Linked DNA regions of Nothobranchius furzeri. The protein of the gene in region 1 purifies or fractionates together with the protein of each later gene. This does not show direct contact. Links are inferred from orthologs where the notes say so. Each region holds a gene or a part of one and is shown in the gene's direction. Other genes may lie near its edges. The genes, in order: nkx2.1 and foxa1.

Region 1 (8,946 bases):
CACCTTCGGAATATTGCTAAGATTGGAAGCATCCTTTCCAGGAGTGATGCCGAAAAACTAGTTCATGCATTTATTACATCAAGACTGGATTACTGTAATTCATTACTCTCAGGAAGTCCACAGAAGTTAAAAGTCTTCAGCTTGTCCAAAATGCTGCAGCTAGAGTTCTGATGAGAATTAAAAAGAGAGATCATATCTTTCCTGTCTTAGCTTCCCTACAATGGCTACCTGTTAAATTCAGAATAGATTTTAAGATCCTCCTTCTCACATATAAAGCTCTTAATAATCAAGCTCCATCATACATCAGTGGCCCTCTTGTTCCATACGTTCCTAACCGAGTACTTTGCTCTCAGACTGCAGGTTTACTGGTGGTTCCCAGAATATCGAAAAATAGGATGGGAGGTAGATCTTTTAGTTATCAGGCTCCTCTCTTGTGGAACCAGCTTTAGTCCGTGAGGCAGACACCTCGTCTACTTTTAAGACTAGGCTTAAAACATTTTTATTTGATAGGCCTATGGTTAAAATCTGATGTTAGCCTAAATCTGGACAAGTGGGGGAGTAGAGGGAGGTGGAGTGTACAGTCGGTAAAGACGGCTCTCCCTTGCCCTGCCTCCAACATGCCTACATCTGAATAGGATAGATTATCCAGAGTTATCTCTGTAGTTATGCTGCTATAGGCTTAGACTGCTGGATGATACACTGACCACTTTCCACGCTCGACTACTTTCTTCTACAATTTGCTCTTTAACTGTATTATTTCCTGCTATTTCAGATGTTAACTTTATTTTTTCTCCAAGTGTTTTTCTCCCCAGAAGAAGCTACAGTGATGTTCTGCTGAGCTGTGGTGGCCTCATGGAGAGGGCCATTGGCTTGAACACTGTTGCTAACCACTTAAACATTCTCCCTCTCCTGATAATGACATTTTACTTTCTTTGACATTGAATGTGCTACTACTAGTTTACCCTTTAATTATAGATTCACTAGGATAAATACAATAAAGTTTATCTCTCACCAAATAGAATATTTACTAAGAAATCACAATGTAGCCATAGAAACACTAATTGGTATGTGTGTGTGTGTGTGTGTGTGTGTGTGTGTGTGTGCGCGTGTGTGTGTGTGTGTGTGTGTGTGTGTGTGTGTGTGTGTGTGTGTGTGTGTGTGTGTGTGTGTGTGTGTGTCTGCTCTGTCTTCTCGATCCCCAGTGAGTCGTGGTGGATGGCTGCTTATACTGAGCCAGGATCCTCTGGAGGTTCCTTCCTGTTAAAAGGGAGTTTTCCTCTCCACAGTCACCAAATGCTTGCTTAGGATGAGAATTGCTGTGACTTTACTGAAATTTGCTGGGTTCCTTATATAGGAAACTTTTTACTGATTGGCTTAATGAACTGACCTGTATTGGAATGTGTACTGTGTGATGGGCTTTGAGACAACTCTTGTCAGGATTTGGCGATATATAAATAAACTGAATTGAATTCAATTGATAACTCATACACATATCTATTTTTATTACAATCAAATGTTAATTGAACACACTTAAAAATGGACTTTGAGGAGTTTAATGTGCCAGACCTTCTGTTTAGTGTTGCTGGAGTTGGAATCAACAAGACTCCAAAGTCTGGGTAGAGCCCCAATGTGTCCTGATATCACCTCTACAAATAGCCCACAGGTAACTACAACATGCGCATTTGTTAGCATATTTATAACGTTATTATTATCATTTGAGTAAATGTATAGCATAGGAATAAGATATTACATTTTCTTAAATGTCTCAGTTGTTATTTAGTGTCACGTGTCTCTGGGTATTTTTGTGGCTCAGGATCTCTGCTCTCCACTAGATGGCGGAACAACACTCTGTATCACCATGGAGAACCTCTGATTCTCCTCATGACCCAGGTGGAGGGAGTTTCTGCTCCACAAGAGGCCGTGCTCCCCTGGAGGAATAAATTAAGTTTAAAAAAACTCTTCTATAGCTGCAAAAATTGCCTGGCAACGTCACGTGACGTAAAGCTTCCTGACGCTAAATCCTCGTGTTTAAGTGATGAAGACGTCCACATGCTGGGTTAAAAACCTCATGATTGGTTGTTCAGGGGGACAGATTTGGTGCTAACTGGTTCTGAAACTTGTACACAAAAAATGAGTTATTGTCCTCATGTTTTATTTTGATATTTTTATCGTTATTGTAAAAATCGTTATTGTTTTTTTTAGAAGGGAGATTTTTCTGTGTGAATATGATTTAAGACTTGGAGCTTAATTGGTGGGAAATTTAAGATACTTTATCCAAATTTTGTAAAAAAAATTTATTTGTGAGATGAACATCTAAACCTTTTGGACCACCACCACCAACAACAACAACAACAAAATCAATAATAATAATAATAATAATAATAATAATAATAATAATAATAATAATGATGATGATGATGATGATGATGATGAACTGTGTTTGACATTAGGCTCAGAAATCCACATTTTGTATTTTAACATATGAATTATTTCTTTTTATTTTTAAGTTAAGAGCGTCACCCTGACAACCTGACAATAAAAAGATCAAAACATTTTCGTGAATGACATCAAACTTTTATTTATGTAATAATCTGCTGTATTTTATTGGCAGTAATCTCTCCGGGAACGGTTTAGACTCCTGAAAACAGCCTCCCGGTCTAATTGTTCCCGCTTCCGGTGAATTAGATCATGCACCAATCAGTTCCCGAAACCATGCAGCCTGGATCACCGCAGCTCGATTGTTTCATTCCCGCCTCTGTCTTAGTGTTCTCATTATTCTGAGGAATTAGCCGCAACATTTGGACTAATTGGCGCTAATTGGTCCTAATAAGTGTGCGTCGGAGCGGAGGGAAAGGCGCTGATTTAGATGATTAAGGATGTCTTGCTGGATTCTCTAATTAAGGAATGCATATGCGAGATTTAGCTGTGTTTTATTTGCCTTATGTTGTGATGTGCCCTATACAGATGCTCTGATTGTAACAATGCGTTATCTCATCCGTATGATGATGATGACGATGATGATGATTAAGATGCTTCATTAAAGACGCGTTTGGATGACGAAGATGAGAATTGTTGTGATACTTTATTTATGAACATGCCGTCTTTCCAAGGGACAAACTCACTGATCTGCATACTCACAATACCAGATCCCAGTGTGCAGCGCATGCTCGAATAAATCAAAGTTAAGAACCAGCAGTCAAGCAGACCCTGTGTCACTGCTGAGAACTGCTGCCACCAGAAGATTCTGTGATCTCTAACCTGCAACCACAGACCCTGAAAGAGTTTTAAAACCCCAAATATTCTGTTATTGCTTATATTATTATTTCAGTCTCAACGAGTTCATTACTGCCTCAATTCTGTAACTCCTCCGTTTTGTTGTGCCTTCGGATTTTCAATTCTATTCTATTCTATTCTATTCTATTCTATTCTATTCTATTCAGGTCGTGTCGGTTTAAAGTCGTCGCGTGTTTTCTCACAAGCTTTTCATAAACTATTTGAGTCCTTCTGCCTTCAACAATTTACTGAAAAAATAAAAAAGAGCTTGCAACCCATTATTACTATTATTATTATTATTATTATTATTATTATTATTATTATTATTATTATTATTATTATTATTATTATTATTATTATTATTATTATTATTATGATAAAATAGTAATAATAATAATCGCTGCCTTGAATTTTTTTAAATATTTTTTTTAAATTACAAGTGGGCTAATAATAAACATTAGGGTGACCTTAAGGTTTAGGGTACTTTGCTCCCTAAATAATACTTCCGCATTATAAATAATAATAATAATTTAATAATAATAATAATAATAATAATAATAATAAAGTAAGTTCTTCTGCAGCATTAAGACCCTTTCTCAGGGCTACCTGGCCTCGTGCTCCAGGAGAGGAGCTACTTGAACATCGTTAACTTCACACGAGAGCCTCTCCTGCACCAGACTCGTTTCCCCCTCCTACCTCTTTTCTAGAGCACATCTGAATTTTAGGTAGCATCTCGTCCACTGACATCAAGAAGGAAAATGAAAAGAAAGCAGGGGGGTTAATCATTTACGCAGCACTTAACACGCAGATGTGTATTTATTTACTTATCAGTATCAGTCATTTTCCCTCCCCGCAAGTGCACTTTTGCATGTCTGAGTACGATAAGGCATAACACAAACAATCCTGCAATCACTGGAGGCCTCTCGTGGCCATTAAAAGTCAGTAGTTCAGCTGAGAAGTGGTTCTCCAACTCTCAAGTCCATATAGGCCTCCTTTTCTTCAAGAGGCCCTCGTAAACATCACTACAGTTAATAAAGTGTATTGTGGTCACTGCAGTCCCGAGGTGCAGCGACAAGTCACAAACTCGGCATGCAGCTTCCGCATCAGTCGGGATGAGCATCGGTGTTGGTGGGAGGGGAGGAGAGCACATGTCTACTATAGTGAAATTACGCTCAGAAAAAAAGAAGAAAAAAAGCAGAGTAGAGCTGTTTTGTATTGTTGCTGATGCCCCGCCTCTGATGGTAGCATTAAACCTGGCACCCGGCTAAAACAAACCAAAGCCAGCACCGAGCTCCCACTCAATCCAATTAAGGCGGACTTGAGGCGCTCTCCTACGTCTTCATCTACCAGGATCGACGTTGAGACAACAGGAACCAGAGGGGCTTTGGCCAAAAAAAAAAAAAAAAAAAAAAAGGGAGAGAGAAGGAGAGATTGCCTTGCCTTCTAATTTCTCCCTCTCCAGCCACAGAACAATGTCGATGAGCCCTAAGCATACGACTCCTTTTTCTGTTTCCGATATCTTGAGTCCCCTTGAGGAGAGCTATAAGAAAGTAAGTATGGAGAATAACAACTTGGGGGCACCTCTCACTTCTTACCGACAGCCGCAGGTCTCTCAGGCGGCGATGCAGCAGCACCACATGGGCCACAACGGGACTGTGTCTGCGGCTTATCACATGACGGCGGCAGGTGTCTCCCAGCTGTCACACACGGCCATGGGCGGCTACTGTAACGGCAACCTGGGCAACATGGGCGACCTGCCGGCGTACCAGGACGGCATGAGGAGCAGCGCCACGGCCACCGGCTGGTACGGAGCCAACCCAGATCCGCGCTTCTCCACCAGTGAGTATCCGGTACCGGTATTTGGACCCTATGCGCTTCAGATCTGTGCGTAATGACCAGAATCCAGATGTGTGCGCCCTGGCTGTGTTTTATTGGAACTATTTCAGGTCTGCTTGTGCGTAAAAACCAGTGTAATTTAGATCCCGGTGCGTTTCACTTATTATAAATCCCAAGGTCTGGGTCAGATTTAAGTCTGAGCGTCAATGGAAGTTATTTAAAATGATTTTTTTTATTATTATTATTTTTACCATTTTCAAACATTAAACATGATGGGAGGTTATTAGGTCTAACAAATACGCACCTCCCTAAATAACACTTAAGTTTTTGTAATGATGTTCCAAATTATGTTAATGTGAAGTAAACTTGTAATGATTTTACGCAGTAGCTGGTCCATATTTGCTGTGAATAAATCTGAGTTTGATTTCCATTCTGATATTTTCCCCAGTTTCTCGCTTCATGGGCTCATCGTCGGGCATGAACATGGGAAGTATGGGCAGCCTCAGCTCCCTGGCGGACGTGGGTAAAGGCATGGGCTCCCTGTCTAGCACCCCGAGAAGGAAACGGCGCGTGCTCTTCTCCCAGGCGCAGGTGTACGAGCTGGAGCGGCGCTTCAAGCAGCAAAAATACCTGTCGGCGCCGGAGAGGGAGCACCTGGCGAGCATGATCCACCTCACGCCGACCCAGGTGAAAATCTGGTTCCAGAACCATCGCTACAAGATGAAGAGACAGGCTAAAGACAAAGTGTCCCAGCAGCAGATGCAGCAGGACAGCGGCTCGTGCCAGCAGCAGCAGCAGCAGCAGCAGCAGCAGCAGCAGCAGTCCCCACGGAGGGTGGCCGTGCCGGTGCTGGTGAAGGACGGGAAGCCGTGCCAAGGCAGCGGCCACACGCCCACGTCCACAGCGCAAACGCACCACCAGCAGGGAGGCAATGTCATGATCATGTCCAACAACGCCTCCGGCCTCGGGCAGCACCAGAACCAGCAAGTAGGGAGCACGGGTCACTCCCCTGACATGGCACAGCACTCTTCCAGTCCGCCGTCCCTACAGAGTCAGGTGGCCGGCCTCTCCCACCTCAACTCCCCCGGAGCGGAGTACGGTTCGGCCCTGCAGTGTTCGGCCCTGTTGTACGGCAGGACGTGGTGACAAGAGGAGCTCATTTGAATCCAATCTATTTATCTGATAAAACTCGGCAGGTTTTTATTGTAAATGCGCGCGAGTGAACTTAAAAGCCCGAGAGACTTCGGCCCTTTCGAAAGGGGGGAAAAAACTCATTTATCTCCCAAAAACTGCGGATTTATTGGGATTATTTATGTAAATTATATTGAGTCAAAAGAAGATTCAGTAGTCAGATAGCTGGGAACCCGAACCTGAGCAGGGACGCACGAACACGACCGGACTGAAAGGTGCTGTGAAACCCAGACGAACAGGATTTATTAGAATCAGTGTGAGCTGTAGGTCTAGCGTGTATATTTCTGTAAAAGGTTGGAGTTCTAGCTCTTTGTTGTACAAAGCTTTTGACAATATTGCTGGTTTGTTGTCGTTTTATTGGTATTTGTACGTTTTATTTCTTTGTAACTTATATAGATATTTGACTTACTACAAAACAGTCCTATTAATAAATTATGGAAACAAGACATTTAAACTTTTTTGTGAAGTATATCCAGAAATGCGCCTGTGACGCAGTTACTAATAATTATTTTGAGGAAGAAACGTATTATTATTATTATTATTATTATTATTATTATTATTATTATTATTATTATTATCATTATTGATGTGGACATGTTTTGTTTTCGTTACAAGAACACATATGAAAGCATAACCGCTGGGATAAACATTAACTTTATCCTTTTCTTTGCTCCTCGCTGATAAATCACCGCTCAGGCTCGCGCCGCGGCTCTAACCTGCCCTGCAGAGCAAACTCGACCTTTATGCGCTTTTATTTACCCTCTGTGTGTTTTCTCCCGCGTGGGTGAGGCAGAAAGGTGAGGTTCCTCCGCGCTTGACATCAAACACCAACGCGGCTCAAAGGGCGGCTTATCGATGACCAAACAGCGCACAATTCCTCTGAAAGGACGCGCGCGGCAGTCAGCGGCTTCATCAATAACCGATTAAATGTGAGGATTTAAAAAACGGCCAATTTAATAATCTGAATGAAAACTGTTTAAATAATATTTAAATGTATTTTATTCTGGTAAATTTGAGGCTATCATTTGTTCCATTTCAGGTTTGGTAAGCAGCGACAGCCTTAAACAAACATTAGACACTATTCTCCTGACATGCGATGGAGTTAGGCATTACATTTTCTAAATAGTAAACAATCAGGTTGCTAAGCAACGGAGTTGTGGACAGGTGATTTTCTTTAGAGAGCGAAAAAGCTGGGGTGGAGAAGATAAAAACACGCAAAAAGAAGTCGCTCAGCTAGAGGAGGATGTTCTATCTCTGTACACACACGGAAGTGTTTTTTTTTTCTTTTATTTTGAAACATCGTTCTTCAAATAAACGCGTTCTCCAGTTCGGATAATTTTTCAACATTTCTATTTGAAATGGTTTTTATTAATGTTTTACTAAAATGAAGACGTTTGAGAAGTTCGTTACTATTTTGTTATTACTTCATAATAATACCCCCACCCCCAAAAAACCCCCAGAAAAAAACACACAAATATTCAATTTTGTCTTCTCAAAGTAATTTTTTTTCCGTCTTTTATTATCCGTTAATTATCGTCGACTGCACCTGACTAAATAATGATCTTTCCTCAGGCTCGTTAGGGTAAATGTTTATTATCTCCTCCGTTTCCTTTCACATCCAGTTATTTTTTATCTTTTTTTGCCAAAGTAATCAGTCATTAATGACAGACTAAATGCTACAGGGTTCAGAGCTGAATAAGACTTTATTTTTTTGATTGACACATTAAAATCACGTCTTCTGCTTTTGCGCAGGTTTTCCATAAAGCGAAATAAACAATAACCCAGAGGGTTTTCACCCATGCAGTAAAACTCTGAAAATGTAAACTTTTATTTTAAAATCGTGAATCCAAACTTTCGTTGGTTGAGCTCTTCCTCTGCACACACAGACCGAGGCCACAGGAGAAAAAAGCTTTAAGTGAAATCTTAAACAAGCATCAGAAACAACCTTCTATTAGCTATTTTGCAGCGCGGGTTTTGTTCGGCGGAGGAGTGAGAACTTTGGGATTACATTAACATGTCTTTGGCGCGGTGTGTGGTCTTTGTGCGCTGCTTGTTGGAAGCGTGTGTGCTCTCATCGCTCTCCTTTGTAGGAAACCACAGCGCAGCTCCCAGAGTCCTCCTGGCTTTATGGCGGGCTGTCTCCATCAACCCCAAGCAATTAGTCTCTAATCTCAAGGTAATCATATTGGAGTTAGTGACGAGCTGGAGAATTTTATTCGCCTCTTTAGCTCCGGGAATCCCCTGAGTCGCCGAGGAGTGAAGCCTTGTTACGACAGGATTTTGAAGTTTGAGCGGATATTAAATATGAGGAGAGCTAACGAGCAGGATAAACGCAAACAGTAAAACACGATCAGGCTTAAAAAAATAAAATGTTCTTGTTTTTATTCCTTCTTCGAAATAAACTCTCGACTTATTCTAATTCGACTTACTGAATATTACTCAAATTTAACTGGGATCTGCATCTTATTGATCTAAAAGTCCTCCATCGGTCCTAATAAATCCCAAATATCAGACTCGCAACCAAATAAAACGTTATTCTACCTGTGTGTAGTTGGGCACCATCACATTAAGTTCACATTGAATAATAACAAAAAAAGAAAATTAAAAAGTCACAAAGTCCATCATTTGTTCCTTGTCACACCTAAA
Region 2 (8,894 bases), about 4.8 Mb from region 1:
GTGGGCTTCTAAGGCACTATTTAACAGAAACAAGTGGCCATCTCAGGAACACTCCGTGGCGCGGGGGTGGGGGTGGGGGGCTTCAGATACACGCCACTCCTCGACTCCGCTGGTTTTGTGTTTAATCTTCCACATGAAGACAAGGTTAGGTCAGTCAAAGCTGTCAAAAATTAGCTAGAAGGACTTTGAAGCAGCAATGCTGAGATTTGGTGGGATGGAGCTTGAAAAAAAATTCCTTGAGTTGATTCTTGTATTAATTTTTTTCTTTCTTTTAAGGGAAGGGGTGTTATGGCTGGTGCCTTTTTGCCCTGGGAACTGGGGGCTCAGAGCTCCCATTGACGTCATCGCCTGCCCTGAAGGAGAAATGGACAGAACCTTAGCGCTCCCATTAAAGTTGCTTTCTACTCCACTTTGCTTTACACCCTGGATCACACATATGTTGTACTTCAGTTTAACTGAAAATAATTGTGTGTGTTTTGACTATGTCTGCCTCGTGTTTTGAAATATGCTAGCTTGTAAAAATTCCTGATTAAAATGACTACAAATGAGATTTCACATACACGACATCACAGCGTAATCTCTTCTCCCCTAGCGTAACTGCTACTTACCACATGACCAGATTTATAGCAGTTTTTTCCACGTTTATTGCTCCTTCTGTCATCCTGGAAGAAGGATTCAAAGCTCGCTAAACTCACAGCTATTTTCTTCTCTGTGCTGGTCGATGATGTCAGCATGGTGAGATGCATTTGTAGTCCGATGTGTCTTTTCACACAAAACCTGAAATAACTTTTGCCGCCGTTGGAAATCTTGGCATCTAAATGTGTTTTAAATTCATGAACATCATACGTGAAATCCACGGCACGTATCAAACGCGATGTGAAGATACCTTCAACAGCCCCATTGACTTGCAATACATTTTCTTATTTCTGTGGACCCATGGTCTGGAAGTAGATGGGCCTGACTTAGGCTTCCTGTGTGTGTGTGTGTGTGTGTGTGTGTGTGTGTGTGTGTGTGTGTGTGTGTGTGTGTGTGTGCGTGCGCGTGCGTGCGTGTGTGTGTGCGTGTGTGTGTGCGTGTGTGCGTGTGTGTGTGTGTGTGTGTGTGTGTGTGTGCGTGCGCGTGCGTGCGTGCGTGTGTGTGTGTGTGTGTGTGTGTGTGTGTGTGTGTGTGTGTGTGTGTGTGTGTGTGTGTGTGTGTGTGTGTGTGTGTGTGTGTGTGTGTGTGAAGAACATGTTAACTCTACAGGTGAAGAACATGACTACAGGTGAGTCAGCACTGACCTGAACATCAATCTCAGACAGGATCCAGATCTTTGTTCTTACACAAGTTCTGGTCTAAAGACTACAAGTGCTGCAGAGGATGAGCCCATTGGTCCAGATCCAAACTACCATGATCAGATTCAGATCCAACCAGGTTTGGTTCTCAGACACCTGAGTCCTTCAGGACATCTGTGATTTTCCGTGGTGGACTTAAAACCAATATGGGTGAAAGCTCTGAACTGAACTGATCTAAACCCATCTGGACTTGGTTTACAAAAGATAGATTCTCTAGACACAGGTCCAGGACCAGAACTCAAATGAGTTACCGTACATCTTCTGAAACACTCAAACCCGATATGATCTGTAAATAGAACTTTTTTGAGTTCATAGAAGGGATTTTTTCATATCTGTGGTACCAGTGGACCCCATCAGAACCAAAAACAATTGGATCCCCTTTCAAACGCTGAATGTTTTCCTCCAGAGGTGGTTCTTGTTAGTCAAACTTTTGTTCTGGTTATGACAATAATAGGAATCGAGGAATCTAGTCTTCATTTGCCCCCCAACCCCCGAACCCCCTCCTCGGTCTTTGTGTCCTCTTAGTCTTTCGTTAGTGAGTGTCCTATAATCCAGCGCCTCATCCAGTTAATCCAGTCAGATAATGGTGAACAGTGAGCAGTTGTTCCAGTCTGTTACTTCCTCATTAACAGATTTAAACCACCAGACTGGGACCAGTCCTCAGAAAACCAGATCACAAACTCATCAGTTACACCATTAAGGTCACAAAACGTGAAAATCAAACAAAATAAAGATTATGAATGGATAATGTAAAGTTCAGAGAACAAACTAATGACCTTTATTTCCTTTATTATTGTAACTAATAAGAACAATGTATTATTATTATTATTAATAATAAATAAAGAACAGACATTTTGAATTATCTCCTGATTTTTGACTAAAGAATATTATCGCCAAACTGATGTTTTAAAATTTTATTTAAATTAAACTTATTCTGCACATCATTATTGTCCAGATTATTCTTTGGTTGTGTCGAAAACACAGAAAATTGATGTTCAGATGCAAAAGATTCAGACTGATATAATCAATTTTGTCTGTCTTTTGTCTGATCCTTATCAAACTTTTATTTTGAAATGGGAAGTCAGTTTTATTCGTTTAAGTGTTTGTAAAATGATTTTATTCACAAAGAGGATTAATCTTAATCAGACCATCGGGTCTGTGAAGTGATTTTAATATTCTGGGTTTATTATTTATGGTTTATTTAGTTTATTCCTTCAAAATAAAACATGACAGTCAGACACATTTTGTGTAAGAAAACGTAAATCACACTTATTATTATTTTTTTGTTGTTAATGTGAAATGGATGGCTTAGTCAGTTTAATCAAAACGCTCCAGACGTGATCTTTCACAGGATCAGAGTTTTATTGTTTAATTATTTAAAATTTCAATTTCCAGAAATTTGGTGATTTAGTGAAAATATTTTAGATTTACATCTTTAATTTCTACACATTCGTTTGATCTCCAAAACATCCAGAACCCGCTCGGTTCGGTTCGATTTCAACACAGCAGCAACACGAGTGTGTGTGTGCGTGTGTGCGCGTGCGTGCGTGCGAGTGTGTGTGTGTGTGTGTGTGTGTGTGTGTTTTGGGTGGATGGGGGGGAGGGTCCAGAGGGCTGGACCTGGAGGAAAGGGATCACATCAGACCCTCAGACCGCAGGTCACCATCATCATCTCCTCCTCCTCCTCCTCCTCCTCACCCTTCCTCCCTCACTTGCCCGCGCGCCTCCACCTGAACAGGGACGCATCTGGACCGGTCGGACCGAAGCGGGTCAGCAGGATCCGTGCTCCGGGCCAGGACTACCGTGATGCTGGGCTCGGTGAAGATGGAAGGTCATGAAGCTCCGGACTGGAGCGGATACTACAGCGAAGAGGTCGGTTCCGGCTCGGTTCGGTCTGACACAAACGGTTTATTACAATAGGCAATGTAAAAATAAAAGTGCCTGCGCGAGCACAATTAGTGAGTTAGGATCAGAAATAGTTTGTTAAATTTTCTAAAGCTCCTCTAAAGTAAATTTAACACGAAACCGAACCTGGTTCCAGAACCAGATCACAAGTTCGGAGTTTGAACACCAAGATTTTTGTTAGATCAGTTAGAGATTTAATTATTAAATCAGATTTGTGAAGGAAAGTGAAGAAAGCATGTAGCTTCATCAAGTTTACGGTAAAAAGCATGGCAGATAAAACGAGTAAATAAAAACGAATTAAACCAAAAACATTCTCTGGTTAAACCTTAATTGTCTCTAAATTTATGAGGAACAAAAACAATTAAAAACAAATCAAACCAGTGAACAAAACGTGTTTTCTGTTGGTAAAAAACGGCCTGTTTTCACATTGTTTGTTTTTGTTTTTTCAGGGTTTGCTGTGGCTAAAATATACAACACTAAAGTATTTATGATTATTGATGATAATGTAATCTGTTTGTTTTTAATGATATTCAAGTAACTGCTGTTCGGGTTTTCAGAATAAAATTAATCTGAAAACGAGAAAAAAATTATAAAGTTTCAAAAAAGTAAATGTTGCTGATGGTTCGGATGATTTATTCCATGTTTTATTTTTTCACCTGGAAATTTTATTTTTATTAGCTGCTGATTGTTGCCCTCAGCCTGAATGAGATTTAAAAATGTACTTTACTTTAAGCTCTGAAATGATCAAAATAAACTAATAATGAACCATTAATTAAATAAACTTTTATTATATAAAAATGTCTTTATTCAGTTACAAAACGGATCTGATGTAAAAGCATTAATTAAAATATTAAACATAAAATTTAATCAGTTTAAAACAGTGACCTGCTTAAAAAGGAACAATATTTATGTATTAATTATTATTATTATTATTATTATTATTATTATTATTATTATTTAATTTGAAGTTTTTGATTAAAAAAATATATATACATATTTTATATTAAATTTTAACACAGGCTAGGGCCAAAACAACATATTTCTCATTAATCATGAAACTTTATTTATTTTCCAACAGAACTCTAAACACGTTTTGAAAATGTTCTGAATTTATTTTTATCCATGAGGAGTTTGATAAAATGAGACTGCAGAAGAGAAGTCAGAAAACAGCTTTCTGATTAGTTCTAATGCAGTTTATGTTTAAAGCTCCATAAACAAACAGGTTTGAGCTTTTACAAACCTTTGATCTGCTATGGTCTCACTGGACCTTCCGACTTATTTCAGACTAAGTCTTGTCTGATTGATGCTGGATGTTCAGATGGTTCTGATTTAAATGGGTCAGATCTGGTTAAAGTGATTTTAATTGTCTGATTGATCTGGTTCTGTGTGTTCTAGACCATTTTAACCCTCTACTGTGTCTGACTGGTCTTGATAAGCCCTGACAGATTCTGTTCCTTGGGTCCCACCAGCTCTGCTGTGTCTTGTTGCAGGTGTACTCTCCAATGGCAGGCAGTGGGATGGGTTCTGGTCTCGGGATGGCTTCCATGTCAGGCTACATGTCCAGCAACGGGACCACATCTGGCTCCTTCAACATGTCCTACAATGGTACTGGTCTGAATCCTTCCTCAGTAGGGGGGGTAGGAGGCTCAGCTCCGGCACCCATGTCGAGTCTGGGGGGCGGGATGGCTTCCATGGGTGGGGCTTTGAGTCCATCCGGTGTGGGCTCAGTGTCGGCTCAGCAGGCCTCCATGGGCCTGAACCCCTATGGGGGCATGAGTCCCACCATGAGCTCCAGCATGGCCTTCAGTGGAGGTGGGCTGAACCGGACCCGGGACCAGAAAACGTTCAGAAGGAGCTACCCGCATGCCAAGCCGCCCTACTCCTACATTTCTCTCATCACCATGGCGATCCAGCAGGCGCCCAGTAAGATGCTGACTCTGAGTGAGATCTACCAGTGGATCATGGACCTGTTCCCATACTACCGGCAGAACCAGCAGCGCTGGCAGAACTCCATCCGACACTCGCTCTCCTTCAACGACTGTTTTGTCAAAGTGTCTCGCTCGCCGGACAAACCAGGGAAGGGTTCCTACTGGACCCTGCACCCCGACTCTGGGAACATGTTTGAGAACGGCTGCTACCTGCGGCGGCAGAAGAGGTTCAAGTGTGAGAAAAAGATGTCGGTGAAGGGAGACGTCAGGAAGGACCAGATGGTTTCTGGTGGAGGTCAGGGATCCTCTCATGCAGGGGAGTCCACCAAACCCAGTGGACTTCTGGATTCTCCTGTGGCCTCCTCCAGCCAAGTGTCCTCCCACCCTGGTCTGGACCTCAGGGAGGGGGTTGGAGGGGTCTCAGACCTGAAGGTGTCCAGCTCTCAGTTACTGTCTTCATTGTCCCTGCCCCCTCATTCCCTGGCCCACGAGACCCCTTTGCACATCAAAGGAGACCCCCACTATTCCTTCAACCACCCGTTTTCTATCAACAACCTCATGTCGTCCTCAGAGCAGCAGCACAAACTGGACCTGAAGGCCTACGAGGCCCTTCAGAACTCTTCTTACAGCAGTGGGGGCATGTCTGGTCTCTCAGGGAGGACCATGGAGACGCTGGAGGCCTCGTACTACCAGGGGATGTATCCCAGACCCCTGCTGAACAGCTCGTCGTAGCTGCCCGGCCCAGACCTTCTGCATGCAGCTGAACGGGACTCCTGCACTGTGACCATTTTATCATGCTGACGTTTCAGTCTGAGCCAATAAACACTGATCCCAGGTCTGCGGTCTCCTCACACACAGAAACTGCTGAAATGGATTTAGAATCCTGGAAAAGTAAACAGTCTTAAGGAATGTCAAAGGTCACATTCGATTCCTGACAGCAGAGTCCCCCTAAAACCAAGACCTCATGGTCCATGACTGTTGGGAGACGCGTCCCTGTTGGACTCAGGTTCCGTTGATCATCTCGTTACAGAACGATCGGGTTATTTTTCAGCAGAAAATTTGTCCGAAAGTGTCTGAATTTTGTCCGGTTTCTTTCAGCATCTGTCCTCCAGCTCCTCCAAAAGTCGTTTCACATTTCTACGCTTTCTGACTCCTGGAAACCAAACTGAGACAGATCCAGACAGGTTCTAGATGGGTCCCAGAGCTGGACCCAGTGAGAGAAAATTTGTCTTGAATATGAAAATTCTCTATTGAATATGTTCAAAATTCCAGCCTCTTGACAGTGAGACCCTGAGACTCATGAGAGCAAACCCTGGAGAACATTTTCGTATGTTCTGTAAAGTCTTTCTGTCTCCAACAGTCATGCCCGGGTGAAATCCTGGTTTTAGAACTCTGCTGATGCTGCGGTTCTTGTCTGGATTCTTCTACGAGGACCAGATGACCCAACCAGTCTGACCTGGACTCTGTGGTCCTCTTCTTGATCTGGTCAGGACAGTTTGGCATCAGGGTCCTGGACCTGGGTCTGAGTCTGAAGTCGGGTTCAGAGATGAACGTTTTGATTCTGTCAGCAGATCTGAGTTCTGGATCCTGAAGTAAAAACCTTGAACCTGAACTTGGTCCAGGAACTGGACCATAGAGACCAGATCAGAGGTCCCCTCAGCTCTGCTGTCAGTGCTTCAGGTCCAGATCCAGGATGTGTCGGTGGCAGCAGAACCGGTTCATCCTGTGATCGGACCTTTAACGGACCAGCTGAACTATAGATCTCTGACCCTGACCCAGAACTGGTTCTGTCCCGGTCAGGTTTGTTTACCTGATGATGTTGTCCTGGAAACGTTTACAGGGATGGATCACAGAATCATCAGGAAGACGAGGATCTAAATCTCCCACGACCTCGTCTGTCTCCCAGCTGACCTCTTGAAGGGTCATGACCCCCAGTTTGACAATCCCATCGCTGGACCCCCCCCCCCCCCCCCCACACACACACACACACACACTTTTGAATCTCTGATCGTGTCTTCAAAGTTAAAGTTCAGCTGCTGGGAGAGAAAATATAAAACACACATAATAACGTTGGTTCTGTTTAACCCCGAGAAAGTTCTAATTAACCAATTATTCCTAATTTAATCAACCCAGAACATTTATTTAAATGAGTCAAAATCAGTAAAACAGCTTTGATAAAAAAGAAATTCTAAAACTAAAAAAGTGAAAGAAAAACAAAAAATACATTTTATTTAGTCAATAAAAAATCTGCTGACTGCACGAGGAAGTGGCTCAGCCCAACACATTCAGAACCCCTACAGAACCAGAACCAGCGCATCACAGACCAAACCCAGAAGCACCGCAGCTGATCTGTTTTTACTGAGCATGAGATCCGGACCGACCCAAACAGCTGACCCAGAATCAGCCTAAACATCCTGTCCCTCTGGTTTAATGTCCTCCGACCCGGTTCCGCAGACCCAGTTCCACCTGTCTTAATTTAATTTATAAGGAACCAGCTGATGAGCCCAGATCTGAGCAGCAGAACCAGAACCAGAACCAGGCTCTGATGGTGTGTGATTCAGTCTTATATTGGTTGTGTGCATGAATGAGGGGAGAGGTTTCCCGCTGAGTCGGGTCTGTGTTGCTTTTGGACTCTGATGCATGTTCTTAACTTAATGTGTCACTTTTAAATAAAACAAACCGGAAACAATAAAGTTTGTTTCTTTTCTTCTGAGTTCAGACTTTAGAACATGCGCGTGACCATTCTCCACCCGATTTAGATCAAAACAAATTAAACGTAAACAGTTTGTGTGTGTTCGCACATCAGAACCAAATAGCTGATATCAAGTTTCGTTTGAAGAAGAGGTCATTTTGGTTTTAGTGCTAAAATAAAACATTGCTTGTCCAAAATGGGGTCCGAGAGCCGCAGGCGGACCGGTTTTAATTCAAATTAACTAACATTTTTTTAATTTTTTTAACGAATTGTTGAAACATTCCTGTTAGGAAATCAGAGGCTAATTTTAAATAGTTTTGAAATAAAGACATCAGCTCATATGAGACAGAATAAAATATAGATAATAATAATAAAAGTCAAATGGAAATAGGCTAATATATTCTCTTAATCAGCGGACAAAATAAAAGAGAATGTTTTCAAGTCACGAGACCCGGTTCCGTCTCAAATTCGGCCAAGCTCGCAGTGATCCTGAACCGGAAAACGCGCACTTTAAGGCGTTTTGGCTCCGGTGATCCCGGAATTATCCGCTCATTAGGCGCAGAAACTGTAGCGGAGCGCTGAAAGAACCGGAACAAAAGGAACGGAACCGAGTCCAAAACACCCCGATGATGATGATTAACTCCAAAATAACAGCAAAACAAACAACTCAAATAACAACAAACAAACAAAGAAGCAGCCGATCTGAAGGTTTTGATTTGTAATTAAATAAATGCTCCGGATTTTAACCAGGCATTAAAATAAAAAGAATTCATATTATTATTATTATTATTATTATTATTATTATTATTATTATTATTATTATTATTATTATTATCATCATCATCAATATAGGTATTGTTAATATTAACATAACAACAACAACAATAACAGTAATTATTATAATTGTTGTTGTTATGTTAGTATAATTATTATAATAATAAATAATAATAATAATTATTATTAATATTATTTTCTATTTTATTTTCATTATAGATATGATTAATATTAACATAACAACAACAACAACAATAATAA

The links.
Region 2: the proteins of nkx2.1 (region 1) and foxa1 purify together in Homo sapiens (affinity purification with western blotting; 3 studies listed by BioGRID and IntAct, with this or other methods). This does not show direct contact. The link is inferred for Nothobranchius furzeri from reciprocal best matches to the Homo sapiens genes NKX2-1 and FOXA1.

Annotation. Positions count from the first base shown.
Region 1 is NC_091758.1:21,180,519-21,189,464, reverse strand, and holds nkx2.1 (homeobox protein Nkx-2.1), read left to right. Parts: upstream 1-4,407; 5' UTR 4,408-4,745; coding exon 4,746-5,112; intron 5,113-5,557; coding exon 5,558-6,255; 3' UTR 6,256-6,746; downstream 6,747-8,946. UniProt on the Homo sapiens protein: Transcription factor that binds and activates the promoter of thyroid specific genes such as thyroglobulin, thyroperoxidase, and thyrotropin receptor. Crucial in the maintenance of the thyroid differentiation phenotype.
Region 2 is NC_091758.1:16,422,962-16,431,855, reverse strand, and holds foxa1 (hepatocyte nuclear factor 3-alpha), read left to right. Parts: upstream 1-2,992; 5' UTR 2,993-3,140; coding exon 3,141-3,206; intron 3,207-4,729; coding exon 4,730-5,899; 3' UTR 5,900-7,885; downstream 7,886-8,894. UniProt on the Homo sapiens protein: Transcription factor that is involved in embryonic development, establishment of tissue-specific gene expression and regulation of gene expression in differentiated tissues.